Regions from separate parts of the Mus musculus genome. Here regions 1, 2, 3, 4, 5 and 7 are each reported to be linked to region 6. The links are microRNA targets in miRTarBase. Many come from high-throughput screens and were not tested one by one. Region 6 holds a microRNA gene; each other region holds the end of a gene's coding sequence.
Evidence for each region. Region 6 holds the annotated microRNA mmu-miR-15a-5p (UAGCAGCACAUAAUGGUUUGUG, at 1,081-1,102, opposite strand). A microRNA usually pairs through its seed, bases 2 to 8, with sites in the 3' UTR of a target mRNA and lowers its output. Matches are read on the target gene's strand: a 7mer-m8 pairs with bases 2 to 8, a 7mer-A1 pairs with bases 2 to 7 and ends in A, and an 8mer does both.

Region 1 (4,066 bases), not on the chromosome of region 6:
CTCCCTGTGCTCGGCAGAACAATTTCGAAGAGCCAGTGGCCCTGCAGGAGATGGACACAAGCAACGGAGTGTTACTACCATTCTACGATCCTGACTCCAGCATCGTCTACTTGTGTGGCAAGGTGCTGGAGGCTGGGCTGGAAGAACCAGGGCCAGGATGAAGATGTGAGCACGCTGTCTGGCAGTGCCATCTAAATTGGCTGGTTTTGCAGGGTGACAGTAGCATTCGGTACTTTGAAATTACGGAAGAACCACCTTTCGTGCATTATCTGAACACATTTAGCAGCAAAGAACCGCAACGGGGTATGGGTTTCATGCCCAAGCGGGGACTGGATGTCAGCAAATGTGAAATCGCCAGGTCAGCACTTTTGTCCCTCCTGTCCCCCTGCCTCTATTTCTCATGTCAGCTCCCGGGCTTCCCCTAATTGTGCTGTTCTTTGGGGAAAAAAGAAAGGAGCCATACTAGTCTTTTTCAGTGACAGTCCCAGCATTGTCCTACTAGCCTGACATTCCAACAGAGGTGTTTTAACCCAACACTGATAATGTGTGAATGGTAATTACTCGGCGTGGTGTTGACTTTCAACACCTTAGTCACAGACATAGGGATTTTAAAAAAGGATGGGGAGTCAGCAGGAATGTTGAATTTCCCCCTCCCTCATAGGTTCTACAAGCTGCACGAACGAAAGTGTGAACCCATCATCATGACTGTACCGCGAAAGGTGAGGAAGGAGGGCGTTGGCTGGAAAGCATCAAAACAGCCATCCACTGCTCAGCTCATACAGGCCCTCCTGTCCTCCCACCCCCTCAGTCAGACCTGTTCCAGGATGACCTATACCCAGACACGCCTGGCCCTGAGCCTGCCCTGGAAGCTGATGAGTGGCTATCAGGTCAGGATGCAGAACCTGTGCTCATTTCGCTGAAGGAAGGCTACGTTCCCCCCAAACACCGTGAGCTTCGGGTCACCAAACGCAACATCCTAGATGTGCGCCCGCCGGCCAGTCCTCGGCGCAGCCAGTCCGCCAGCGAGGCCCCCTTGTCGGTAAGCTCTGAGATCTGACCACGCCACCCTGACTCTATCCCCTGCCTCCTGCTCTCTGCCATGGTCTCTTCTGTCTCCCACATGCCAGCAGCAGCACACCCTGGAGACATTGCTGGAGGAGATAAAGGCCCTCCGAGATCGAGTGCAGGCCCAAGAGGAGCGCATCACTGCGTTGGAAAACATGCTCTGTGAGCTGGTGGACGGCACAGACTAGCACTGCCTACGCGCTGCAAAGCTCTGCACACTGCAGACTCAATGGGGCAGGGCGCACCGACTGGCAGCACCGGCTTTTGGTCTGGAACTCTGCACCCTGCCTCGTGGGGTTGGAATCAGGGGAGGGATCAGAAAAGAAACTCCATCTCCCACAAGAGGCCTGAACACACAGATCTTAAGTGGCAGGGACTGAGCTCCGTACTAGGTCCCCAAACATTGCAAGATCAGGCCTCGGGGAAGCCTGGGGTAATGTGGCCTTAGCAGTGGTGCTTCATGGTGAGGTGGTGTCCCTCTCTGTCCCTTACCCTGGGCAGGGGAAGTGCTTAGTATTAGCGTGATCCTGGGGATGCTGAGGGGCCTAGGCCTGACCTCACAGGAATGGCGATTCAACAGATATCCCCAGAACCTCAGGAAATTTCCAATATTTCTCCTAATAAGCAGCACCCTGTTTCTATTGCCAGAAGAGCTTAACCCACTGGCTTCAACCATAATTCTATGGCAGAGGGCTCTTCCCATCTTCTCACTTCCAAAGACGGCAGCTTCTTGGAGACAAACAGACCCCACCAGAGAAATCTCAGGAGAACAGGCACACGGAAGCAGGTTCAACACACACACACACACACACACACACACACACACACACACACACACACACACACCAGCACTCTGCTGACTCTTATAGAAACACTGAGGCATTACTAATGAAATACTTCACTAAGTACAAGTCTGTGCCTCCTGCACAGAAAGCCAATATGCTGCCCCCATTCCCCAAGGCACCATGAGGGAACCAGGCCTTGCCCAAACTAGGGGGCACCTCAGTCCTTTTTGGAAAACTGAGGAGACCTAGCAAATGCAAGCTGGACTGAGGACCCATCAGGCAGCTTTTTATCCCAGGTCATCCATCTTTGCATTGAGGTTCCCAAGACCCCACCCACCTCCCACCCCTGTGGGCACTTCTCCCCAATAAAGTTAAGTAGAAATGCATCTGGTTTGAAACCGCTTTTATTTGTGCCTCAGAATCAGTCTGGTGCCCCTGGCATCAGGGAAGGGAAGAGGAAGAACAATTTTGCTTTGTTGCTCTTTTCTTGACCCCCTTTTGTGCCCCTTCTGAGCCCCTGGCAGAGAGAAGCCAGCCAGAAGGCAGCCCAGGACAAGGGTGTGGCCCCTGCTTCGTGGGGCCTGTGCTTCTTTAGGTGGGTAGGGTGGAAAAGGGAGAGCCGGGGTTAGCACCATTGGATAAAGGGTGTTAGTCGGCCCCTGAATGGGGGCAAGAGGGGTGCACAACCACAGAGGGCTAGCAGCAGCTGGTAGGAAGGGGTGGGTGGTGACAGTGGTGCCAGGGCCCTCATCAACCCTTTTGTGTCGGTTCTAGTGCTTGCCCCCAAGCCAATATGCTGCCCCCATTCCCCAAGGCACCGTGAGGGAACCAGGCCTTGCCCAAACTAGGGGGCACCTTAGGCACACTCCCTGATCATAAGAAAAACGTGCTGCGGGCATGGGGGTTCCAATTCCTGGCTGCCTAAGGAGAAGCTAGGACCACCCTGAGACACAGGACAGGTGTTGGGACTGGGGGGGCTGGGTACCCCGCTAAGTGCACTTGACGCTGAAATGCCGGGGTGGGGAGGAGCTAGGCCCTTGACGTGCTGGTTTGTGTCTGGGACAAAGCAGCGCGACACAGCACGCAGGGCGATCAGCTGCCTCCCAGGGGTGAAGAGCTGAGATGCGAAGGCTTCAGGGACAGTGTCCTGGAGAGGGGTCAGTGAGCAAGAAGGAGGACCAGCCATAAGGAGCAAGGGACGGGACAGTGCTCCTCTCAAGGATTCGTTTCCTTTTCAATACCACCTGCCTCCGCCCTTGGACAGATCTGAGCCCAGAGAAGCGGATTAGGGGTCACCATACAGCAAAGCAGGGAGACCAGCACCCCTCTAGGGCTCTGGCCTGGAAAGTGATTCCACGCCTGTATCAAACCCCTGGCATCTCAAGCCTGATGCGCTGCTACACCCGCAATGCGATGGCTCCAGACTCCAGCAGCCGCTCGGCAGGTGCGCAGACCCGGGTCCTGCGTGGAGTGGGCGAGGGTCCCAGCAGGAGGCGCTACTGTTCGGTCAGCGAGAGCCGCAGGATCCGCTCCAACTCTTCCTCCTCCTGGCGCACTCGCCGCCGCCTCTCCTCCTGCTCCTGAGCGGACAACTCCATAGCCAGCCGCAGCTGCTCGTCGTAGCTCCGGAACACATGGCTGCTGGAGCCGGGACCTGGGCTGGGCCGAGGGCTGGGCACTGGAGCCGGGGGCATGGGCTGGCGCTGCGGCGTGGGTGGGGCGCTCCTGGGGGCGGGGAGGATTTGTCGAGCGCTCCCCGCTCCCGGCACACCTGGGACACCTGCTCGTAAGCGGGGCAGGAGACATCGTGGAGGTCCCAGGGCTGGGCAGGCTTGCCACCCTCTTGGGGAAGCCATGAGTCTCGCTGGGCTGTCTGGGCCCCACCCAGTGATGGCAGATCCCAGGTCCCGCCAACCTGTCTGTTGTTGAGGGTCTGAAGGTCCAGGGAGCTAGGTCCCTGATCTCTGCACATGCCTGGAGCACTGGCCACCCTCCCTGTGCCAGGAAAGGGGGTTGGCAGAAGCCATCTTGATAACGGGTTCTCGATACCAGGTGTTGAAGGCACTGAGGGTTCTCTGGGCCTAGTAGGGTTCCAGTGTCACTGTGCAGTATGATGGCTTAGTGAGGATCTCTGTGCATGTGGGTCTGGGGTAAGAGAGGGAACAGGCACCTCTAGGCTCTCTTTGGCTTCGTGGGCACTGACCTGTCCTGTCGGC
Region 2 (4,062 bases), not on the chromosome of region 6:
AATACCCTGCAGCATTCCAGATCATCTGAGAACCACTGAAAAAGACTTTTTTGTTCCCTTCCCCTTTCCAGGGTAGACGGCGAAGTCAAGCATTGCGTCATTAACAAGACTGCCACCGGCTATGGCTTTGCCGAGCCCTACAACCTGTACAGCTCCCTGAAGGAGCTGGTGCTACATTATCAACACACCTCCCTCGTGCAGCACAATGACTCCCTCAATGTCACACTAGCATACCCAGTATATGCACAACAGAGGCGATGAAGCGCTGCCCTCGGATCCAGTTCCTCACCTTCAAGCCACCCAAGGCCTCTGAGAAGCAAAGGGCTCCTCTCCAGCCCGACCTGTGAACTGAGCTGCAGAAATGAAGCCGGCTGTCTGCACATGGGACTAGAGCTTTCTTGGACAAAAAGAAGTCGGGGAAGACACGCAGCCTCGGACTGTTGGATGACCAGACGTTTCTAACCTTATCCTCTTTCTTTCTTTCTTTCTTTCTTTCTTTCTTTCTTTCTTTCTTTCTTTCTTTCTTTCTTTCTTTCTTTCTTTCTAATTTAAAGCCACAACACACAACCAACACACAGAGAGAAAGAAATGCAAAAATCTCTCCGTGCAGGGACAAAGAGGCCTTTAACCATGGTGCTTGTTAACGCTTTCTGAAGCTTTACCAGCTACAAGTTGGGACTTTGGAGACCAGAAGGTAGACAGGGCCGAAGAGCCTGCGCCTGGGGCCGCTTGGTCCAGCCTGGTGTAGCCTGGGTGTCGCTGGGTGTGGTGAACCCAGACACATCACACTGTGGATTATTTCCTTTTTAAAAGAGCGAATGATATGTATCAGAGAGCCGCGTCTGCTCACGCAGGACACTTTGAGAGAACATTGATGCAGTCTGTTCGGAGGAAAAATGAAACACCAGAAAACGTTTTTGTTTAAACTTATCAAGTCAGCAACCAACAACCCACCAACAGAAAAAAGAGTGTGGAGAAGGAGACTTACAGTGACATTCAGTATATAAAATATGTACATAATATTGGGTGACTAACTATCAAATAGATGGATTTGTATCAATACCAAATAGCTTCTGTTTTGTTTTGCTGAAGGCTATAAACGTGCAGCGCTATGCAATTCTTAATTTTTATTATGTTGTTACCCGTTTCAAATACACCTTTGGAATAAGCTTCCCTTACCCCAGTTTTTGTTGCTTGAAAATATTGTCCCTGATTTTTGTTAATATTTGTTTTTGTCATTTTTACTTTTTTTTTTTAAAGAAGTGTACAGGATGCCAGAAAGGAGAATGGCTTAAGAATTAAAACTATGAAATATTTTACAGTTTTTCTTGTACAGAATACTTGGCTGTTAGCCCAAGGTTAAAAAGTTCATAACAGATTTTTTTTTTTTTGGACTAAATGTTGGGCAGGGCCCTGATAAGCTTCAAAGCTGCTTTATTCAATAAAAAGAGAAAAAGAAAATGATATATGATATGACAAAGTATTGCTGAGTCCAACAGTGTTAAGACTCTTGAAATACGGTACCTGGCAATGTTTGTTTCCTAATGAATTGTGAACTTCTTGAATCTGGAGGGAGGGGGAGGCAGTCATGGGTTGTAACAGGCGGGGTAAGGGGAGGGGGGGAAGTAAGGTGGTGTGCACTTTCTAGGGATCCCAGAGAAGGGAGGAGCCAGGCTGTTTGTCTCCTGTCTTTCCCCATCTGAGTTTGGTAGTCATTAGCAATTAACAGCAACTCCAGACCTAATGTTGTAACTCCATCCCAGCACAGTTGGCCAGCATCTCCGTTGTCATGAAGTGCTGAGTTTGTTCTGGGGTTCCTGGAATGTGCCCTCTTTCGTTGTTGTAACACACTGGTCTCAAGGTTGAATCCCTGCATTTAGAAAATGTGTTCTTTTCTCTTTGTAGCATTGGACTAGTCACAGCAGTCAGCCAGTCACCATTCATTTTGGCTAAATCATGGTCTGAAAAAACAGCATCTAGTTGGATGCTTGATATTTTTCCAGCTCTCTGTTCAGAGTTCAGTTTAGAATGGAAGGCAAGTAGACCCAAGTGGGTGGTCACTGTGCTTTGTGGAGATTGTTAAGTGCAAACATTTAACAGTTCGGACAGGTCTTCTCATTAGCGTGATTGTGCATGTTGCATACATCACGGTGTGCAAAGGGAGCAGTTGGTGACATCTTTAATTCAGGACAAAAGTTCGAGTTTCCCACCCTAGTGTATATGTGTCAAAGCTGGTGAGTTCATGGGGAATTGCCATGTGCTGTGATGGGTAGAGGTTGATGGTAGTCCCTGTCGCAGCCCAGGTAGATTCATGAGCCATCATCAGTTTCTCTTTCTCAATATCAGACACACCTGCAGCTTTATAGCTCTTCCCTTATTTGGGGGGGGGAAGGGGTCTTGTAATGTTGCTCTTGTTTTGATCTTGGAATTTGCAGTCCAGTGTCTGGGTTAATGGTCTGTAGAATGTGTTTTTCTTCCTATGAAGCCACTGCTCATTTTCAAGAGCAAAAGTCAGTCAACCAGACTGTCAGCCCACAAACTTGACCCGACCACCTCCTGACTGCCAGGAAATTGATTCCCCGGGTTGACTCTGGGCTTTGCAACCTCCAGCGGTAGCATTCCGCCACACCACATACAACTGAAGAGTTAATACTTATTTGTAAGCTAGGTTTGTGGTTGGCTTCTGCTCTCTTCTTCCTTTCTCTCTTTCCTTTTTCTTTTTGTAGCACATCATGTATGCTATCAGATACAAATAACTTTAATTTTTAAAAAGGATCTGAGATTGCTTCGTGACAAGTTCTGTTAAGTGGTTTTTTTTTGTTTTGTTTTGTTTTGTTTTGTTTTGTTTTGTTTTTTTCCTTCAACACTCTCTGCAAGATAACTTGCAACTTAGGCAGTTGCCTGAATTTCTCATCTCACTGACGTGAGTACAATAGAGCTTTCATGTGTCAGAAGGCAGGAGTCATTGAGTTATAGCACACCTGTCCTACTGAATGCCCTTTTGGTGACAGGTTAGCATGCTCACCAACTCTGTCCTTGGAGAGGTTTGACCATTAAGGTTCTGTGGATTCCATCCAAGCCATCTTCTAGTAACACCGAGTGGCTCATGAATGCAGATAGATACAGCATAGCTGGGATGTGAGCATGCCCACTCAGGTTTTCTCACCAACTGTCCCATTCTAGAGACAGCCAGACACTAAGCTAGACTATAGAAGTGGGAGGGTTGGGACCTTGTGTTCCACACCAGAGTGATCATAGCCATGGGATAAGGCAGCAAGCATATTTTGCAACATTTGACAACTTCACAGCCCTGGATATATGTATATATGTATAATGTGCATGGACTGTTTCCAATACACCTTTCAGCCACGCAGATCCACAGTCAAGTTCAAGTACATAACAAGCAGATGTCCAGTACAGGTCTTGTATATGTGTGTGTGTGTGTGTGTGTATGTGTGTGTGTGTTCCTGTATTTCTTTGCTATTGCTTTGTTTTGTCTTATAAAGTACAATTTGTCCACAAGTGAAGTGAGAAGTCCGTCATTTGATACTTTCCTCTTTTTAGAAGCTCTTCCCTTTCAGGGAGCAGCCTGGATGATTTGCTTACCTGATGGATCCCTGTTCTCAGTGTTGTCAAGTCAGAGTGTGTTTCTGTGAGCTGTCATTGTGGGGAACCAATCGCTTTGTCGTATATCTGATTATGAACTATAACTTGTTTGGGAAGTCCTACTGATGTTCTTTATTGGGAGAAAGTTCTTGCAGGTTTTCTCAACTGTGCTTTCGCAATGCATGGTATCCAAGTCAGTTGGAAAGTGGGTTTTGTTGTCTGTTCGAATTTAGGGTCATTTAAGAAAGGGGCAGTTAAGAAGCACAATGCCTCCCATGGGACAACATTCCAAAATGCCAAATTCTTCTCTTTCTTACAACAATCTATAATTATATAAAATAACTAGTACTGGGGGTAGGGAGAGGGTAGAATTGGCTCCATTGGAAAGACTCTCCTGCTTCATACCGAGCTTGTCGCCATGAGATAGCATTGGCTGCCCAGGATGCTGCTATTTAA
Region 3 (4,066 bases), not on the chromosome of region 6:
TTTGTGTTTTATCAAAGAAACAGAATAGTAACTAGAGGAACCAATGCCCTCTTCTGCCTTCTGTGGACAATGTATATATGCAGTGCCAACATACATGCAGACAACACCCATAAACATAAGATAAAAATAAATTGATAAAAAAGCCTATAAATTGATAAGTTCAGAATAGGAAAGAATTCATTTTAAGAAACCATACATAGTAAAAATAAAAATTTTAAAACCTCCACTGAGTAAAAAATTTGTATTTGCCACCCCAAGTGTTTATTAGCAATACACCATAAAAAGGATAAAATACCCCAAAATGCAGAGGATATTTATAGCAGATATAACTAGACAAATATTAAGCTCTTTGAGTACCGAAAGTTAAAATCCATCTATCTGTGTATGTACCAGTAAGGATACAAAGACAAGCCGGGCGTGGTGGCACACGTCTTTAATCCCAGCACTTGGGAGGCAGAGGCAGGCGAATTTCTGAGTTGGAGGCCAGCCTGGTCTACAGAGTGAGTTCCAGGACTGCCAGGGCTATACAGAGAAATCCTATCTCGAAAAAAACAGTAAAAACAAAAACAACAGAAATAGGCCTAAGACATAAAAGGCATCTTTATAGGACTTTCCTATCCTATTTTTACAAAACAGAAAACACGATGGCTTCTGATACTGAACCAACTGTAGCATATTCAGCAGGAAGTAGTGTGCAACTCTTCCCTCAGCCAGGGTCCACAGAGGTCTGATATGAAGCAGACGCTTCCCTTTCACCCCAGAGTTGTTCAGACTAAATGAGTTGATGCATGGAAACAAAAGATTAAACTCTCTTCTCATTGAAAGATTAACTATAAAAAATGAATAAAGGGATTGGCGAGAAGATGGCTCAGCAGTTAAGATGCCACACTGCTCTTGCAAAGGACTCAGTTCTGTTCCCAATTCACAGCTGACTCCAACTCCAGCTCAAGGGAATCTGATGCCCTCTTCTGGCTTCCACAGGCACCTGCACTTATATGTGTATACTCTCACAGACATGCACACACATACACAAAACTGGGAAAAAAAAAGTCTTTAAACGAAAATATGGGGGGCCAGGGAAGATAAGCGAAGAGACAAATAGCCATTGCTGGGTTAAGAAGTCTGTTGAAAAGGCAGGAAATGTCTTTAATAACAGAACTCAAGAGACAAGAGACAGGTAGATCTCTCTTAAGATTGAGGCCAGCCTGGTCCGTGTAATAATTAAGCTTCAGGACAGTCAGAGCTACAAAGTAAGGCCATGGAGGGGGTGGGTAGGGGTAGGACAATGGGGGGACGGGGTGGGGGTGGGAGGATGGACACACAAAAACAAAAACCAAGTCTTTTAAAGCACACAAACAAAGGAAGGCTCCTGGATAAAGCCAAAATCAAACATCATCAGTTATATTAAAAGGCAATTGGCCCACCCACTAAAAAATAATTGCCTGACAAAGTATAAAAGGGTAGGGACACTTCATTCATCAGATCTGGTAAAGAAAGCAGGCAAACTCTCCAAAAGATTGCAAATGGATAATGCCATTCTCAGAAGAAAAAAAAAAGCTCTTCACTAACCTATAAAGCTAAAAAAAAAAAAAAAAAAAAAAAATCTAACCTTCATTAATAAATGTATTTTATTTTAAAGGCATTTAAATTTTCACTAATTTACAAATATCCTTTAAGTATTAACTTTAAATTATTTATCTCTAGTAGAACTATAAATAACCTCTGTAGTGAGTAACATACACCAAGCCCCTCAAAAACTCTGCAATTTTACTTAGAAATTTCACTTCTCAAGTGTGTCTAATGGCTAAGGCCTATAAGCCTTGAAGCAGAAAAGCAAGGTCAAAGCTAACCTGGGCATCTTAGTGAAACCTTGTCTCAAAAATCAGGTCAACTGATGCTGGTGATGTAGCTCAGTGGTAGAGCACTGCTCAGCCTGTGTTAAGCCCTAGGTTCAACCCCCAGCTTCACAGAAAAGAACAACATAAGTTCATTTCTAGAACAGCTCTGGGGACTGGCAAGATGTAATGAACGTCCAAGGTGTTGCGCACATCACCAAGCACTGGTTATATAATCATTTCATAAGATATCCAACTGTTTAAAAGCTATAGAGCAGCCATAAAATGCATATTGTGGTTGAGATGGTTGAGATATAAAACATTTAACACAGGAAATGTTTGCAAAACATGAAGCAAACTGATAATACATATAAAATGGCTACACAGAAAGCAGATCAGAGTACACTCGACTATTGACAGACTAAGTGGTCAGCTCAAGGGGGACTGACTGCGACTGCATGCTTGAGTGTGGTCTCTCCTTTACAGCCTTCTAGAAGCACTAGTTCATTCCAGATAAGGAATATAAAACAATGTGTTTTGAAATCACCTATTAGCAGTTTTAAAACCACAGGTTCCATACTGTTCTTACAGCAACCTTTTCTTCATGGGAGAGATGTGGAAAGTGCTGACAGCTAGAAGCATCCACTATGGAATCAAGCCCTTCCCAGTATGTGTCTAATCTAAATGTGTTTTCAGTCCAACTTCATGTATGAACACTGCTTTTAAAGAACGGAAACTCAAACAAGTACCAAGAACACATCGCCATGAGCTCGGGGAGCTGCTCTGATTGGTATTTTATTTCTTCTTTACAAGTTCCACGTAATAGACAAAGGCTTTTGATAACATACTGTTATCTTTGCTCAAAACGATCATATAATCATTTTAAACAACACAAATGTGTACATACATGACTGAGGTTTCTGCAGCCTATAAACACCTCTTTGGGTTTAAAAATGAAAAAAGCAATGTACTCACAAGTCAACTGTAACTCTTAGAAAAACATCGGTTTCCTTACCAAACGTGAACGCCCTGTACAGGGACCTATCATCGAGACAGCAATGAGTTCAAGCCAAGGGAGGCCAGGAGCAGCTCCCCACACCAGCTCAGAAGACCCTCCCCCGCCCAGCACCTCTTCAGCGCTCCTTGTCCTCATCCTAGGAAGACAGCAGTCACCCCAGAGAGACAGGATCAGCCAATGCACTTGCTGTAACATTTCTGAGTGTCTTCCACAGTGTTTCACATCCAGCATCTCAGGAACATGTCCATGCAGGCACGTGGACCATTCTTTACACTTCATTTCTTGAGCGAGGGAACCAGGCCTTCCTAATTCACTTTAGGTGCCTGGGGTAACAAAGTATTTCACCAGAAAGGGTGTAAGCAGCACTATCTGATAAGAGTACAGATAAGGAAAATGCAGCTAAAGAAAACGTGTGCTCTACTCACACTAAAATATCAGACCAATGCACAACATACTGCAAAACTGTAACACAATACGGCCAAATACAAGGTTCACATATTAAACTGTGCAAGCTGTGAAGAGCGTCTTCTGAAAGACAAACTGGGTTCTTACTTTGTAGCTACCTTTGTGTAACTTAAAAACCTGCTGTCCCTCAACAAGGTCTGACGCTGGTCTTGATACTTGTTAGGAAGTTCGATGAGCCAATGAGAGCTCTGCAGCCAGCTCTCGGGGTGTCCCAGCCCTGTCTTCAGCACTCATCCGAGGACTGGGCATCAGCTTCGTCCCTCACTTCTCGGTATCTCCCTGAAGACTCCCCTTCTGGATTGTAGCTCTGCATTTTAATATTCAGTCTCTCGGCCAGTTTCTGTGCTGCGAGCTTTGCCTGCATCTCCTTTAAAACAAACACAAAGGCCAAGTTACACATCCACAGCTCCCCTTAGATATGTGGCAGGACCGGAAATAAAGGAACATTGGCTCCCACTGTCTCTCTGGCAACACAAGCAGCTGACATTAGTGTCCTGTCAAGACATGGGGCAATGTTTCCGAGAGCTGTCAGCCTGCTGCAGTTCCCAGCTGCAATCAAAACAGCTCACCTCCACACAAGACACTGAGAAACCAGCTTGGCACTACAGCAGCCATTAATAGACACACGAAGTGTCGCGTATGCAGTGAACCACCTGCCTTTGTTAGAAATCACCAATGTGGTGCTGACATCTTCCACTGACTTTCTTCTCTAGACTAAATCATGTTTTCTAGATTTGAAGGACACACC
Region 4 (4,066 bases), not on the chromosome of region 6:
GCTCGTGGAACCGAGGGAAGTCTTAAATCCCCGTTTCCCCAGCCTAAGATACCCAAAGCTCAGCAGGCCAAAGCTGGAACTGGGCTATGTAGCTTTTGGGGGTCATTCACAGTGAGAGCTTCAGGGGTATCACAGGGCCCTGTGGTTCAGTCCTGTGGAGATGAACCATATTACAGACTAGGAAACGTCTGTAGGCTGCTAGAGCCAGGAAGGAGGTGCACTCAGGGGCTAAGCCCCCCACCCCCACCTTCTCTCTTTCCCCAGCTGACCTGTTCTCCCATGGGAGGTTGAGTGGCCTTGCTTTGGGTAGCACCTGGGCTGCTTGCAGTGGAGTGGGGAGTGGGCAGCACCCTACCCCACCCTTGTCCTGTCATCTGAGCACCCATCAAGTGGTGCTTGATGGTGACATCCTGCTTAGGGCAGGCTAGGGGCTTTCAGCTGTAGTTACCAAGGTGAGTCCGAGTGTCTGTGTGGCCACAGTGATCAGGGCAACAGAAGTGTCCAGTCTATCCCTGTGCAGGGTGAACAGTCTTTGTCTTTGTTTTTGTGCAGAATGTAGACATATCCAGGCCTTCAGAGGAAGCCCTTGTCACAGTCCCTGCTCACCAGTGACCCTGACCTCTGTCAGAGGGGTCACTCCAGGCCATCTTGTGTTTGCTGTACTGATGGTGCCACCATGCAGGAACACTCCTGAAGCCATGGGTGGCTAGCAACACTCAGAACCTTCAGCCTGGCCCACCGGCCTCTTTGTTGACCACCAGTGACAGGTTGGGTATGGCTGCTGAGAATCCCTGGGCTATGTGCTCTGCTGCCAGCCCCTCTGCTACAGCACTCGAGCAGTCCACTCACCAGGCTGGCTGCTTCATGACGTTTGCAACCTTAAATGAGACACTGAGACAAAAAACTCTCACTAAGACATTCCACTGTGGCCCTGCTGCCTGATGGGGGCCAGGCAACCCCTGGAAGAGTTCTACTGCCCTCTCCATAGCTACTCTTGGAGCCAGAGGCTTGATCTTCATGGGGCCTTATGTGGACACCACCCCAGGTGAAGTGGAAAGCCCTTCCTTCCCTGCCTGGAACAGAAGATGGAGCAGGGAGCTTCTACCCACATCTAACCTCTGCATCTGTGGGTACTCAGGAGAGTAAGTGTGGAAAGGACCATGCGTGGCGCCCATTCCTAACGTCTACCAAGTTATACACTGGAATACAGGAGAGCTGCGGCCCAGGCTGCCTCGTCCTAAATTCTCTTTCGGGGGATCCTGTAAAGGCAGGGCAGCTTTAGGAAGTACCTTCTTGGTGCACACACCAAAGTGCTTATGGAAACTGGTCTCCCCTACCTGGCCGTTGCTGTCACTGTCCACACAGAACTGTACACTGGTAACGGGGACATGCCTTTGTCATGAGAGGCTCAGAACTGGTGGTCCTGTCGGACTGTCTTCCCATTTGCTGGCCTCTACCTGTAGGACTGAGGAAGGAAAGGACAAGGCATGAGGCAGCCCAGACCCCAGGAGGAGTCGCTGGCCCCACTCTAGTTTTGATTCAAGTACAAATTGAGTCCTAGTGCAAACAGCCTTATGAAGCCTGGTGCCTCCCATGCCCCGAGTTCTTGTGGGTCCACATAGCAGAGTCAGGCTCCATGTTTCAGCTGACCAGCAAGGTGATAGGCAGGTTGTGGAGCAGGGCAAGAAACTTTCTACAGCAGTAACTGGTTGCTCTAGTGTCCACAGAGCAGCCATGGGGAAGCCATGCCCTGCATCCAAGAACCGTTCAAAGCCCAAATCTGGCAGAATAGTCCACCTTTTCCAGCCCTGCCAGTCCTGGGCTGTGTAGCTTGCAGCTGCCATCTGCCCCTGAGAAGTCAGTGCCATTATTCCAAACTGCTGTCTGTGCGGGCCTAGGGCGGGACTCCTGGGCTCATCTCCTCAGACCTCCATGTCCTAGCTCGGAGCTGGAAGACCATACCACTGCCTTCGGGACATGGGCCCTGCAGCTTCTGCCCCGTGTCCCTCAGAGTCTGAGTGACGTTCATCATATCATCTGGACACTTGTTAGCCATAGCAGATGCCTGTGGTCGGCCACTGTGGATAATGGCTGGATGCAGCTTGAGGCAAAGACCACCAAAGCCTTTTTCCTCTGTGCCCCGGGAAAGCAGGAACTGATGGACCCAGAGGTGTAAGAGCCCAGGGTGGGGGCAGAGGGATGTCAGTGGAGCAGGAGTTGTGCTGGAACAGCCCCTCCCTCCAGCCCCTGAAGTGGCTTCCGCAAGGCAGTCGCATGGGGGGCTGGTTGTCAGGCTTTAGCTGAGTTGGTTCAGGGGTTCACAGGCGGACTGCCTACATTTCCTGCTTTCCCTAGAATGTATTATCCTGGTTTTCACTTGTGCATTGCACTGTGTCCAGCATTCTTTGCAATAAATACTTTAAAAAACAAAACAAACAAACAAAAACAACAACAGTAATATGAGGTGGTATTTGATATTTTGTAACTTGTTCTGTGGGGTGTGTGTGTGTGTGTGTGTGTGTGTGTGTGTTGGAATCCTTCAGTCAGCTTCTGCCCAGGTACCCCCTGAAGAACACAGCCAGGTGTGGTGGCAAACAACTGCAGTCTCAGCCTCTGGAGGCAGAGGCAGAGGCAGAGGGATGTCTTTCTTAATCAGCATTCTACTGCTCTGAAGAGACACCACGGCCTCAGTCAGCTGGAGCTTGCTTGCACTTTCAGAGGTTTAGTCCGTTCTCATCATGACAGGAACATGGTAGGACACAGGCAGACACGGTGCTGGAGACATAACCAAGAGTCCACAGGCAGGAGGAAGAGAAAGACTCTGGGCTTGGAATGGGCTTTTTGAAACCCCAAAACCCCAACCTTAGTGACACACTTCCTTCAACAAAGCCACACCTCCTAACCCCTCTCAAGTACGGCCACTCCCTCATGACAAAGCATTCAATATATATGAGCCTCTGGGGCCATTCTTATTCTAACTCCACAATCTTATCTTTCTCGATCGCTTGCTCTCAATTTTTAAAATTTAGTTATTTTTATTTTATGTATGGGCATTTGGCTGTCTGTATGTCTATTCACCATGTGCATGCTGGGTGCCCACAGAGGCTAGGAGAAACAGTGTATCCTCTGGAACTAGAGTTACAGTTGGTTCTGAGCTGCCATGTGGGTGCTGGGAAACGAACCTGGAAGAGCAGCCAGGGCTCTTAAACCTACTGAACTATCCCCAGCCTAGGATCTATAACCAAGCCTGGTTTTCTGAGTCTTTCGTCTCAATGTGGAGTGCTAAAGGCTCTAAAGGATTTGTTTGTTTGTTTGTTTACATATATACCATCCACCTCAAGTTTAATTTACACAAAACTTCAGCTAAATTGCTGACCCCTAGTTCCCATCCCTCAACTTCCACACCTAGATGTCCCCATGAACACAGGAGATGGCACTCACTGCCTCTCTTGCATACTCGCCTCTAAAATTCCAGCTGACCTTGGCTCTACCTTCAAAATAAGTGCAAAAAGGAATTTCTTGCCTAGAAGTCTGGGATTGAAACCCGACACCACAAACAAAAATGGCTGCAGTAGTTGCCCACATTCTGATCATCTTCTCTCCTAGATTATCATTTTAGGCTCCACAGGAGTATCTGGCTTCTCTGTACCTCATTAAAGTCTGTGAGTTGCAGTCAGAGCTCTTACCACCTGAAAATAATTATCGAGGGACTGGCGAGATGCTCAGTGATGAAGAGAACTCTTCTTGCAGAGGACCCGAGTTCAGTTCCCAGCACACACGATGTTCCACGCTGCCTGTAAACGCAGCTCACCCCTACAGGTGGCATACACACTGTGTACATAAAATAATTGGCTGTGTGGTGATGGCTTACGCCTTTAACCCCAGCAATTTGGAAGGCGGAGGTAGGTAGATCTCTGCGTTTGAGGCCAGCCTGGTCTACAGGAGACCCCAGTTAGTCAGTAGGGAACATCAGGCTCCCCCTTTTGTCAGCTTTCGACCTCCTAAATACAAAATAAAAAACTGAAAAGGTAAGCAGATATCTTCTTGTGTGTTTGTTTTTGAGTTT
Region 5 (4,066 bases), not on the chromosome of region 6:
ATCATCTCTCTCAACTTCCGAGGCACAGGATGCAGGGCTTACGGCTAAGCCTCAGAGCATTGGAAGTTTTGAGGCGGCTGACATCTCCACCACCGTTTGGCCGAGTCCTGCTGTCTACCAATCTGGATCTAGCTCCTGGGCTGAGGAAAAAGCTACTGAGTCCCCCTCCACTACAGCCCCATCTCCTCAGGTGTCCACTACTTCACCTTCAACCCCAGAGGAAAATGTTGGGTCCGAAGGCCAACCCCCATGGGTCCAGGGACAGGACCTCAGTCCAGAGAAGTCTCTAGGGTCTGAGGAGATAAACCCAGTTCATACTGATAATTTCCAGGAGAGGGGGCCTGGCAACACAGTCCACCCCTCAGTGGCTCCCATCTCCTCTGAAGAGACCCCCAGCCCAGAGCTGGTGGCCTCGGGCAGCCAGGCTCCTAAGATAGAGGAACCCATCCATGCCACTGCAGATCCCCAGAAACTGAGTGTGCTTATCACTCCTGTCCCCGACACCCAGGCAGCCACAAGGAGGCAGGCAGTGGGGCTACTGGCTTTCCTTGGTCTTCTTTTCTGCCTAGGGGTGGCCATGTTTGCTTACCAGAGCCTTCAGGGCTGTCCCCGCAAAATGGCGGGGGAAATGGTAGAAGGCCTCCGCTACGTCCCCCGTAGCTGTGGCAGTAACTCATACGTCCTGGTGCCAGTGTGAGCTGCTTGCCTGCCTGCCTGTGTCCAGAGTGTGATTCGGACAGCTGTCTGGGGACCCCCCCCCCCATCCTCATACCCACCTTCATCCACGCTGGGGAAATGGGAATGGAGAAGCTGGACCCTCCAGGGGCTGTGGGCTCCATCCAATCCCCCCTCCCCCGAGGGGTGGCCCCGGAGGCCACCCTAGACCACTATTCACTTATCAGAGACAGAGCAGGTGACCTTCCAGCTCCTCTATATTTGAAAGAATCCTCTGCTGCTGGCTGGTTAGAGGGGCCCTTGACACCCCAACTCCAGTGAACAATTATTTATTGGATTCCCAGCCCCTGCGACGACACCTGTTTCCCGCGCGCACCGTGGTCCGCCCATATCACAAGCAGCAGGCCAGGCCTATCTGCCTGTCCCCCTGACCTCCTTGTGTCTCCTGGCTTTGCTGCAGTCGCCAGCCCTTCTCCTCCCCGGCCAGCTGCGGTGCTATCTGCCCTATGTCTCCCTCTATCCCCTGTACAGAGCGCACCACCATCACCATCAACACCGCTGTTGTGTCTTTTCTTGCATGAGGTTAAAGCTGTGTTTTCTGGAGCTCTCCGGGAAGGGAGACAAGCTTGCGAGAGGGTTTAAAGTGTTCCTCCCCAGACTTGGATGTGCTGTGAAGGCATGCTGCGTCTGAAGGAAGGGTCCAGTCCCCACTCGGCTACCAGCACCACAAAGTGCCCCACCTGTAAAAGGAAAGAAACGTGGTCCAGAGCTGGCAATAACCTATGGCCCTGACATCATCACTTTCTCTGAGATCCTTGTCTCCACCCCTGGGTGCAACCCCACCCCTTATCAACATTAATAGTCACTGCCATTCCACTGGACTGACATTTTTGTACCCTGTGATTCTGAGGGCTGGCAAGGAGTGGCTTGAGAGTGCAGATCGTACCCTGTATGCCCCCCCCCCAAATGGAGGCTGAGTTGGGGACTTGCAGGAACAGAGGCCAACTCAGATGGCTTCCCCTGTGTTCTCACTAGAAACCCCTCCCCCATGCACCAAGGTGACAGTCACAGGTCTGCCCTGGCTAAAGGACAAGCCACATAGGAAAGATTAGGACAAGCCCCTCGGAGGCAGAGGATCCAGGGTAAACCCCTGGAGTGGCCACAAACCCAATTTCAGTGTAGGGACTTGTGCATGTGTGTACTTGCATAGTCAGACAGAGGCTGCCAGGGTCCTTTCCTGTCTCTGAGAGCAGTGTTCACGCCAAGGACTCACCTTTGCCCCCATTGCAGGCAGGGCCAGAACTCCCATAGCATTCTCCAAGAGCCCTGTGACATTTTCTGGAAGGGACTCTGCCCTGGGCGCAAAGTGACTGCTGAAGCAAGGAGCAGCTGAGCAGCACCCCAGCGGAGCTGAGCCGGCAGGCCACGCCCCTCGGGGGGGGGGGGCATTTCTACCCACCCTGCTCTGAATAGCTCCAACTTCACCTTAGGAGCCTCCCAGGGGCGAGCTTCACCCAGAAGCCAGTGACTCACTCCTTGATTGGTGGAAGCTCAGTTGGCTCCTGAGAGTGAGGAAGCCAACCCTTTGTCGACCCTCCTCCTGGGAAGCCTGTGGGCGGCTCTGATCATGCTCCACAGAACCAGTTGTAGGCCTGAGCCGCAGCAGCCCGAGTGCACTATATCCTGGCTCCTTCGGTGGGGAACCTTTAAGGGTTGGGACACCCGTCATCGGACTTTGTTGGTTCCTCCCTCCCAGAGCAGAATGTGGGCCGTAACAATCTGAGGAGGACTTTGAAAGTTGTTGATCCTTTAGGGTTTTTTTTCAAGCATCATTACCAATGTCTGTGCCATTTTGTATTTTACTAATAAAATTTTAAAGTCTTGTGAATTAAATCAGGGAACTTTTCTCTGGGGTAGGCCTCGGCCGGGGTGGAGGTGGGGTGGGAGCATGGGGAATGGGAGAGGAGAGGGGACAAGTTCTAAGACCTGGGTCTCTAACTCATTTGCACCAGGGGTAGGGATTTTCCCAGAAGGCAGATGGGAATGAGGAGAACTGGACCCTGGCCTGGCCCAGTGTTGCCTCTGTGTGTGTAATGGTGACCCGGTACCTTTCACCTCCCTGGGCCTCTATGCACGTGGGTGTGACTGATCTCTTGGTCTGCCAAGACTCAGGATCCCTGTGGGTCCTACTCAGTGTCCAGGAGCCACCACCCTGATGTTACTGTCACTTATATATGATGTCCACATGTTCCTCTACACTGTCTCTACTCATTCCTGACTCGTATAAAGACGAAGAGGGACTAACTAGCTCTTCTCAAGAAACCAGGAAGCTCCTAGATAGGACCCAAGTGTGAGCCGTTCAGCGGCCCTTCCGCTTTTCAATATACAACATTAGAGTCCCAGCGTACAGTTGTGCAGGTTGAAAACAGCACAGGGTTATCTCAGGTCAGGTCCAGCCTATGGTATACAATCTTTCATGAATTCTAAAACGGACATTTTTTTCCCCCTCACTGTGATGTGTTAGAGTTGGGATTTACTTTGCTATCCGTGATTCTGCTGGGTTTTTGTTTGTTTGTTAGTTTATGTGGTTTTCCTTCTGAATAGGGCTAAAACCCCAGGACTCAGGCGTGCAAGGCAAAGCGCTGTACTCCTGACCTCTGCACCCTCTGCTCTCTTCTTCATGTTTTGTTTTGACACATTGTCTGAGTTGCTCAGACTGGCCTAAGCAGATCTTATAGTCCTCCTGCCTTCAACCGCTTGAGTAGCTAGATTTTATTAGTAAAATGCAAAATGGCACATATTCTACAGTTATTAAATGTCAGAACATCTTTCTATCAATAACATCTTAGACTCAGTGTCTACATTGTAGTTTTAAAATTGGAGGCAGCATGGCAAGATGGCTCAGCAGTTAAGAGCACTGACTGTTCTTCCGAAGGTTCTGAGTTCAAATCCCAACAACCACATGGAGGCTCCCAACCACCTGTAATGAGATCTGATGCCCCCTTCTGGTGTGTCTGAAGTCAGCTACATGTACTTATGTATAATAATAAATAAATCTTTGGGCCAGAGCAATCAAGGGTTGAGCGAGCAGAGTTGACCGGAGCGAGCAGGGCTGACCGGAGCGAATGGGGTTGACCAGAGGGAGCAGAGGTCCTACACCACATAAAGGCTCACAACCATCTGTACAGCTACAGTGTACTCACATACATAAAATAAATAAATTAAAAAAAAAAACATTGGAGGCAGCGAGGGGCTGGAGAGATGGCTGGAAAGAGTTAAGAGCACCTTCTGCTCTTGTAGAAGACACAGGTTTGGCTTCCAGCACCCACATCAAGCGACTCACAGGAGATCTGATACTCTCCCCCTCCCCTGACACTCCAGGCACCATCAC
Region 6 (4,066 bases):
ACTGGGTATATTCTGTACCACTGTAGCTCTCAAGAAACTCTGGAAAGGTGTTCAAGACTTAAAAATACTTGTTATATTATTAGTCAGTGCTCCATCTGTGGATCCAACCAACCACACATTCAAAACATTTGGGTGGCCAGGCATTGGGGCCTACAGTTTTAAACAAAGAATTTGGGAGGCGGAGGCAAGAGGATCTCAGTGAGTTTCATGGCAGCCTGGTCTACATGGTGAGACCCAGGCTCAAAAGACCAAACCAAAAAACTTATTTCTTGGACAAAAACTGCATTAGTACTGAATTGTACAGTTTTTTTCTCATCATTAAGAGAATAACTTGAATAATACAACTATCCATGTTAACATCCCACTGCACTACACATTAAAAACAATGTAGAGATAAGTTTAAATAAGTATAAGGGAGGATATGCACTGGTCACGAGCAGACATTTTATACAGGAGATCCAAGCATTTACAAATCTGGGTATCTAGAAGTCCTATAATCAGTTCCTCACACAGAAGTCATTATGTTTTGTTTGTTTTTAAAAGACAGATCCTTACATAGGTCTTAGACTTGCTTTATGGCCAAGGATGATGTTAAGCCTCTAATTCTCTTTTTTCCACTTCCTCAGATCTAGGATTACAAGTGTACCTGGTATGCAGTGGTAAGGCTAAAACCCATGGCCTTGTGCATGCTAGCAAGAAGCACTTGGCCAACTGAGCTGCATTACCATCCCACAATTATATAGTATTTTAACAGACACAATATGTAGAGCGTTGTTACTAACATCATTACAGAATCATACCAAACATAAAATCACTAATGCAATTAGAAAAACCGTGTAAACACACAAGTAACATCAATACACATTGAATTACAGTTGTAGAGTATTGCCAACCTTACTTCAGCAGCACAGTCAATACTGGAGGTAATTTCAGAATCTTAACGCCAATATTTACGTGCTGCTAAGGCACCGCTGACATTGCTATCATAGGAGCTATGAATAAAAAGACAGGTACTCTCTTCAGAAGATCAGGTCCTTGTATTTTGAGGCAGCACAGTATGGCCTGCACCTTTTCAACATCCACAAACCATTATGTGCTGCTACTTTACTCCAAGGGTTGGTTTTGAAAACTCCTAGCACCTCAATAGTAATTTACAGAAAAGGCTTTTTAGGAAAAAGTAGAACACATAAAATCTATGTTTGAAAAAAATCTAACACTGGTATGTGCATAATTTTATAGGCTTTCAGCAGAATAAAAAGTATTTCCATATCATAAGTTTAATAAAAGCGTACAGAAAACTTAATACAGTGCTGTAATTTATTGTAGTCATGAAACGAGAAAAGCAAGTCATTTTCCCATACCAACTTAAGAACCTCATTTATTAAACTAACAACTTTTGAATGTGCTTAACACATGAAATAGCTACAAAAGTTGGTTTTTACCTTATTAAGAGCAGCACATCTTTCAAAGCCAAATCCATAGGACAAAGCTTCATGTTAAAGGAAACATGTAAGAACAAACATGTAAGAGCTCAGTTTCAAGAAATTTATACTAGCAAAATATTTAGAAGACATACACATGAAACATATTCCCCAAAAATATATAACCCCCAATCTACACATGAACACAAGATTTATCTCAATATTGGAATAGTTATTGTGAGTTCAGTGTCATTTATTATTACCCAGAACATCATCTTAGGATAACAGGTCTATTTGGTTTCCTAAAAGGATATATCAGAAATCCTGTAGCTCAAGCCTAAGTAACCATTTGTGTGTTTCCCAGTTAAAAAGGCTAGTCCTTTAAAGGAGTATCATTTTATACCACAGGACTTTGACTTAGCTGAAACAAAATTTTTACTACGTTAAGTTCCAACTTCATTTTATGTGTGTGTGAATATCTAGGTTTTCTTACACTATTAAGAAGACTCTTTTCTGTTTAGTGGGGGACTTAGCCATCCCTTCACAAAGAACTGTTCTTATTATTCCAGTTCATACCAGATTTTCCATTCAAACTAGATTACTGTGTAGCAAATGTTTTCTAGTGGGTCAATGCCATTTCTCCATTCCCGTTCATGTTGGGTCATTTGAAATATCAAAACGTCTTTAAATCTTCAAACCTTTGCTTTCAAGTGTGCCAGCTTAAAAAAAAAAAGTCTGAAAATAAAGATAAAAGCTGCTAAAAGTGATTTTGTCCTTTATCTTTATACAATGATTATAATTTCAAATTCAGTGGTTTTTTGAGAGAGGTTTTGAGGACAGTGGCTGCTGTCCTGCAATTCATTCTATAGACCAGGCTGGACTGGAACTCAGAGATCTATCTGCCTGGTTTCCCTCCTGCATGCTAGGATTAAAGGCGTGCACCATCATGCCCCGTTCCAAATTCAGTGGTTTATATTCTGGCCTAAGGACCAAAATAATTTTTCTTTGTTGGGTTTTTACATAGTTCAACTTTTTACTAATGTTCTTAAAAGGAAAAAAAAGCCATTCTGAAAAGAAAACAAAATGTTTTGCTTAAGAAGGTAACTTGAGTGTACATAGGAATACATGGCAATCTTTAAATACCTGAAATTAATATTATTCGTATAAGAAAACAGAATTTTACAACAATTTAAGAAGATAGATCAAACCAAATTGTCCTATTTCCCCCTTCAACTCTATTTGTTTCCATTAATATTTTTCTTTAGAAACATTTACTTTTTACCTTATAAAACTTCTAATATTAATTCATCTTGTTTCCATAAAGCTTAGCACTTCACAAACATTTATAGGCATGTTGCCCAAGCTATATCATCATCTTGACTGCATCAGAATAATGGGATACTTTTTGAATTTAATAATAAGCAACCAGTAATTTGTTGGAGCACAATGACAGAATACAGAATCTGAGGTCCGAACCCTGACACTGTCCTTTGAGTGTCTCCCATGGCTGTTATTCTAGTACACTGACCCTTTCTGGTTCCCTATCTGCAAATGAACCATTAACATACATATAAGCCTTTGTAGGACGCTTCTGAACCATAGCCATCTTATGAAGTTGTCTAAGAACATGGAGAAAACACTACCAGGTTTAAGTTCTGATGACAGAGCAACAATTCTCAGGGCACAAAAAATCTACTTAAATAGCAAAGCTAAAGGCATGAAATACTGCAACAAATTTGGGAAGTTAAAAGCTGGGTATGTTAATATCTTTGATGTGGCAATAATGCCACTATAAAATCTTTGGAACTGTTTCTTCTCTAAACATTTTAAATTCCTAGTTCTAAAATTTGATATGTGAAAAGTGACAGAATCATTTGTAGGGCATACTACTAAATAGTTAAAAATTCCATTTCCATGTGATTTTTTTCTAGGAAAATGAGCTTATGTAACATATTTGAAAAAGAAATTGTTCTAACAACAACAACAACAACAACAACAACAACAACAACAACAACAACATACCCAAATTTTATTTAATGGCTATGAAAGGAAAACTAAACTGATTGTTTAGGCCAAGTCAGGTATGGTGATCACTGACAACTGAATATGTATTTCAATTTGCTCATTTTTTACATGGAAATTTTTGAAATTCAAGTTGCAAGGCTGCAGAGTTACTCAGTGGTTAAGAGCATTTTGTTGCTGTAAAAGACCCAGGTTCAGTTCCCAGCACCCACATGGAGCCTAAGCACTTCCTCCAGCACGCACTGCAGACATACACGAAGGCAGAACACTCATACTTTAAAAAGCTCAAATTTCAGAACAGAAGATGACAACAATAATTCACACTAAATGTTCTGAGGATATTATCCCAGTGCATTTATGCTTAAAAGTGAAAAAAAAAATCACATTGTATCAGATTGTTATATTTGCAAATTTAAATTCCTACCCAAACCAGGTGGGTGGCTAAGTGTTGTGAGTGGAACATGCCTATAATTTTGGCACTCTAGAGATGGAGGTAGAAGGATTACTATACAGATTCAAGGCTAGGCAGATAAGCTGTCTCAGACAAAGAAAATGAATATACACCCCACCAAAATTCAGAACCTGGTATAACTGTTTAAATTTTACCGTCCCCCAACTGCCCC
Region 7 (4,066 bases), not on the chromosome of region 6:
AGGTTCCTGCCGGTAAGCCCAATAAATGCACGGGCTCAGCAAGCCTGTTTGTTGTTAGTGCTCTATCTGCGGTGAGCGGACATTCACTCACACTTCCCCAGAAAAAGTTCAGGCAGTAAATGGGATCTTCACAGCACCTAGGGCTCCCCCAAATCAAGCAAAGCTCATGGAGGGGAGACACCGTCTCAAGAATTTATTAGACACTACAAAGGAGAAGAGATCATGCACATTCCTTTGTTTCGTGTTCTAAGTGACAGCAGCAGGGCAGCGGGATCTGAGAGACAACAGATTTTTGTCCCCTACCTGAATGTGGGCTGCTGCCTCTGATCCTGACACAGCACGGATTTACAGCTGAAACAACAGCCAGACAACCACACTAGCACAGCGAGGGCAGTGTGGATCTGCTGATAGAGGGGGCTGGATGACTTAACACAGCGACACTTGACAACATTTTTTTTTTAAACAACACTATAATTATAAAGTTGAAGGCACATCTTCGGCAGAAATATCAATTACATGCACATGAGAAAAAACAAACTAAACTACAGAAACGAAATATTGCACAAAGTTGCCCGCTCCTGTTTTGGATTCTAACCAAAATTTCATAATACATTTCTTTAAAAACACAAGGTTGAGACACCTGGCTCTGGCTACAAAAGTCAATTATTATCAACATCATTAAAGAAGCTAATGTGATTGAGAAATAAGAATTCATGCTTTGTGTTATAGCTAGCTACTCATACCAGACGAAAGGACTTAAGAAAGTTAGTGTAAAAGTTGGTAAAGATTTGGCATGAATCAATCTATCTATCTATCTATCTATCTATCTATCTATCTATCTATCTATCTATCTATCTATCTATCTATCTATCTATCGATATTTGGTAAAGAAGTATGTTTTTTAATACAGAAAGCAAAATAACTCAAAGGAGTGATTATGAGGAATGTCTGTATAAAAAGGAGAAGGAAGAAGAGAAGGAAGAGGGAGAGGAGGAGGAGGAAGAGGAGGAGGAAGAGGAAGAAGAGAAGCAGCTTAAGCTTTAACCAGATGCCTCATACAAAAAAATAACAAAGTAGAGTAAAATAAGTAAAATAAATATGAAAAATAATTTTAAAACAGAATCTACACGTAATGGAAAAATCCTCTACTATACGTTTTTGATTTTAAGCTGTGTACAGAAAATATATGCACAGTCACATTTTTGGAAACATCGTGTCTATAGTGCTATTTCAATCATTCTCTATATCTATCTGAATGAAGAAAATTTTTAAAAAATTAAAGCATAATATAAAATTATTTGTTCATAAGGCATCAAATGTAACTTCCTAAAATGGTGATACTAAAGTAGGAAAAGCAACATTTCTATTTCACACCTAACAACTATCCTTTTCAAACTACAAGAGTAAATATTCTAGCTGTGTTTTAATCTTAAATTCAAAAGGCATCTTTGGATATTTAAGTTAAAAGGTGGCCCCTAGCTGAATCCGCATTAGCACTGGACAGCAAAGTGTCCATGGCGCCTTCTGACAGGGACAACGGTTGCTGAGTGAATTCAGAAGAGTGGCAAGGAAAGTATAAAGAACCTCGAAAGATGTATGCTCTCTCCCCCTCTCTGTCTCTGTCTCTCCGGCTGTCTCTCTCTGTATGCATGTATGTGTGTGTGTGTATATACATGTGTATATACATACACATACACACACATACATGCACTTACAAAACCTGTTCTGAGCAGTGGCCCATTACTTAAACCAGTGGCCAACTGAAAGTAACGTGCTTGATCTCCTCTCTAAAAGACCCTCCTCTCTAAGGAATACAGCCTCTCTCCAACAGGTTCTTTTCTGGTAGTGAGACCTGAAATGCTGTTCTCACTGCCCTATAACTTGATGTGGAGGCAGGAGGAGGACTCAACAACATATACAGAACAGAAGGAGAAACTGGCTGACGACTGGGGGACTTATGTTCTCATGGATGCAGAGCAAGAAAAAACTACTGGACATCTATAGTTTAGCTCTCTCTTCTAGAAGCCAATGAGCTATATTATGATGATCTCCTAGAATTAAGAAACAAATATACAAACTCAAACTCTTAAGACGGCATAAGTATTGGTTTAAAATACAGTTTAAGCATATAAACTTATTCATACTTCATTAAAACAGGTTTGCCTTTCTAGATTAATAGCACCTTCATCAAAAGTTTCACCTCTCTAAGATAGCTAAGATAGAAGTTAGGTCTTTTCCAAATCTGGAAAGACAGCATTGAAAAATGTAAACGTTTGTGGGTGTTGGGTGTGAAGGAATAAGAGAGAAAAGTGGTGGAGTGGACAAAACCCATTCTCCATTTCACTTTATATTCCAGTAATATAAAACATGATTTTTATACTCAATATTGACTTGAAAAGGAGAAATGAACATTTTCAGAGCACAAATTATATGTTAGACATTATGCTAGTAGCTTAAAGTACATGAAAATAAAAGATTAAGAGTTTATAAACACAAATATTTTGAATGACAGAACAACATACTTAACTACAAGATATCATAAACCAGGAATATTCTGATTTCTCTATTACAGTTTGGTGTGTATTTTGATAAAAGCAGCTCTGTGCGATGAGAATATTTTAAAGTCATTTTGATAAGTTATTTAAAACAGAGGCGACTAAAATTTTATTAAATTATAATATACCAGCCAAGTGATTATATCCCAAAAGATGAATTTAATGAGACCACATACTTTTCTATGGCCCGTATATGTTAATATATTAGTGTTAATCTTTGAAGAATTTTTCAGTGAGAGAGGTTCTAAGTTTCTCGACTGGGACTGATGGAGAGACTGCATCTACTGTGAACAAAGCTGAACTGAAAGCTAGCACAGGGCTGGGGAAACTGAAGGAAGATTTTGAGATTTCTGACAACAGTGGAGAAACAAGAGGGTACAGAACCCTGTAGATCTTATGGTCTTCTGAACGACACAGTAGGATGAGAAAAGTAAGATTTCAGAAGAGCTGCCAGCTACGAAAATGTTTTAAGACAGGGTCTTAGTGTCTGGCTTTGAACTTGTAATTCTCCTGCCTCATTCCAAGTGATTGTTGTCAGTTATTTTTATCAAGGAAAAACCACCTAAACTTGGCTCACTTGAAAGGAGGTGACAAAAGCCATCCTGCAGGCTCTTAGGAACTAAAGGACAATGACACATGAATTATGAGGTGAAAGCAAGCCTACAATAAATAAGGCACATCTGTTTTGAGACAGTTGCAACTGTTTTCCTTCTAAACTAGGTGCTTTGTACAGTGCTTTGAAAACCATTGCTCCCCAGTGGGGCAAGTATATAGGCTCAAGAATACCTTCAAAATCATGCTCTCAAATCTTCACATTTTTAATCGTCCTGTCTTTGGGCACTTTTTTTTTTTTTTTGGTCAAATAAAAATGATCTGCCATATTAGCAGCACATTAGCAACTTCTAACTATAGAGCTTGTTCTAAACTTACTGTTCTCCCCTCTGTATCGCTAATGAAACAAAAACTGCTGGGAACTTCTTCTAGATAATGCCAGGTTCAGAGCTCCTGCCCTGAGAAAGATATTTTCACCATTACCAAATACAACTCAGATAGAATCCTGCACGTAAGAGCATGAGATTGACATAAGATCCTTCTACATCAACGTAAGTGCTGTGTCAGTGCACGTGAACTTTAACTAGCAGCATCCCCCAAGGCTTTTTACAGTGTGGTGTCATCATCTTCCCGGAAGTCGCCCACCAGAAGCGAGTGCTTGTCAGGTTCACTAGTAACAACGCTGTTCAGGGAGCGCTTGTCAGACAGCAGTGAATTTATGGAGGCTCTGCTATAGTTGACAATCCGGTCCAGCAAACCCAGCCTTGGAGAATTTCTTGAGGTGTCATCTATTCCAACGTGAACACTGATTTCTGAAGGACTCCTCTGTCCTGTGTGGCTCCGGGGATGCAACTCATAATTGTCATACGTAGGTTTCCTGTAACTGCATATAAATTTAAAGCAATCAGATGTTAGGTAGATGCTTGGTGTACGTACAAACAAAAGTGGCTACTGCTACA

Region 1: the mRNA of Ankrd13b is a reported target of mmu-miR-15a-5p. Seed matches in the 3' UTR shown: 8mer at 2,548-2,555.
Region 2: the mRNA of Pik3r1 is a reported target of mmu-miR-15a-5p. Seed matches in the 3' UTR shown: 8mer at 4,050-4,057.
Region 3: miRTarBase lists Polr2m as a target of mmu-miR-15a-5p. Seed matches in the 3' UTR shown: 7mer-m8 at 3,212-3,218.
Region 4: the mRNA of Pfkfb4 is a reported target of mmu-miR-15a-5p. The part of its 3' UTR that is shown has no 7-base or 8-base seed match.
Region 5: the mRNA of Cx3cl1 is a reported target of mmu-miR-15a-5p. Seed matches in the 3' UTR shown: 7mer-m8 at 951-957.
Region 7: miRTarBase lists Atp7a as a target of mmu-miR-15a-5p. Seed matches in the 3' UTR shown: 8mer at 3,692-3,699, 8mer at 3,438-3,445 and 7mer-m8 at 256-262.

What each region holds. Positions count from the first base shown.
Region 1 is chr11:77,468,249-77,472,314 of GRCm38, forward strand. Ankrd13b (ankyrin repeat domain 13b) reads right to left here. Exons shown (of 15, transcript NM_001373882.1): 14 at 4,054-4,066; 15 at 2,237-3,575. The coding sequence ends at 3,347. Coro6 (coronin 6) reads left to right here. Exons shown (of 10, transcript NM_139128.2): 6 at 18-122; 7 at 213-358; 8 at 662-719; 9 at 809-1,039; 10 at 1,131-2,235. The coding sequence ends at 1,253. Among named protein-coding and RNA genes, the nearest start is that of Mir12181, 2.8 kb to the left of the region's middle.
Region 2 is chr13:101,681,079-101,685,140 of GRCm38, reverse strand. Pik3r1 (phosphoinositide-3-kinase regulatory subunit 1) reads left to right here. Exons shown (of 16, transcript NM_001077495.2): 16 at 72-4,062. The coding sequence ends at 261. Among named protein-coding and RNA genes, the nearest start is that of Pik3r1, 85 kb to the left of the region's middle.
Region 3 is chr9:71,475,856-71,479,921 of GRCm38, forward strand. Polr2m (polymerase (RNA) II (DNA directed) polypeptide M) reads right to left here. Exons shown (of 4, transcript NM_178602.3): 4 at 2,582-3,685. The coding sequence ends at 3,542. Among named protein-coding and RNA genes, the nearest start is that of Polr2m, 8.1 kb to the right of the region's middle.
Region 4 is chr9:109,029,777-109,033,842 of GRCm38, forward strand. Pfkfb4 (6-phosphofructo-2-kinase/fructose-2,6-biphosphatase 4) reads left to right here. Exons shown (of 14, transcript NM_173019.5): 14 at 553-2,449. The coding sequence ends at 612. Among named protein-coding and RNA genes, the nearest start is that of Shisa5, 6.8 kb to the right of the region's middle.
Region 5 is chr8:94,779,860-94,783,925 of GRCm38, forward strand. Cx3cl1 (chemokine (C-X3-C motif) ligand 1) reads left to right here. Exons shown (of 3, transcript NM_009142.3): 3 at 1-2,568. The coding sequence ends at 697. It overlaps Gm51543 (a long non-coding RNA gene), which reads right to left. Exons shown (of 2, transcript XR_003947437.1): 2 at 1,242-4,066. Among named protein-coding and RNA genes, the nearest start is that of Gm51543, 4.1 kb to the right of the region's middle.
Region 6 is chr14:61,630,995-61,635,060 of GRCm38, forward strand. It overlaps Mir15a (microRNA 15a), which reads right to left and starts at 1,116; the gene lies at 1,033-1,116. Dleu2 (deleted in lymphocytic leukemia, 2) reads right to left here. Exons shown (of 7, transcript NR_028264.1): 4 at 1,443-1,489. Mir16-1 (microRNA 16-1) reads right to left here and starts at 978; the gene lies at 886-978.
Region 7 is chrX:106,124,263-106,128,328 of GRCm38, reverse strand. Atp7a (ATPase, Cu++ transporting, alpha polypeptide) reads right to left here. Exons shown (of 23, transcript NM_009726.5): 23 at 169-3,990. The coding sequence ends at 3,714. Among named protein-coding and RNA genes, the nearest start is that of Tlr13, 17 kb to the left of the region's middle.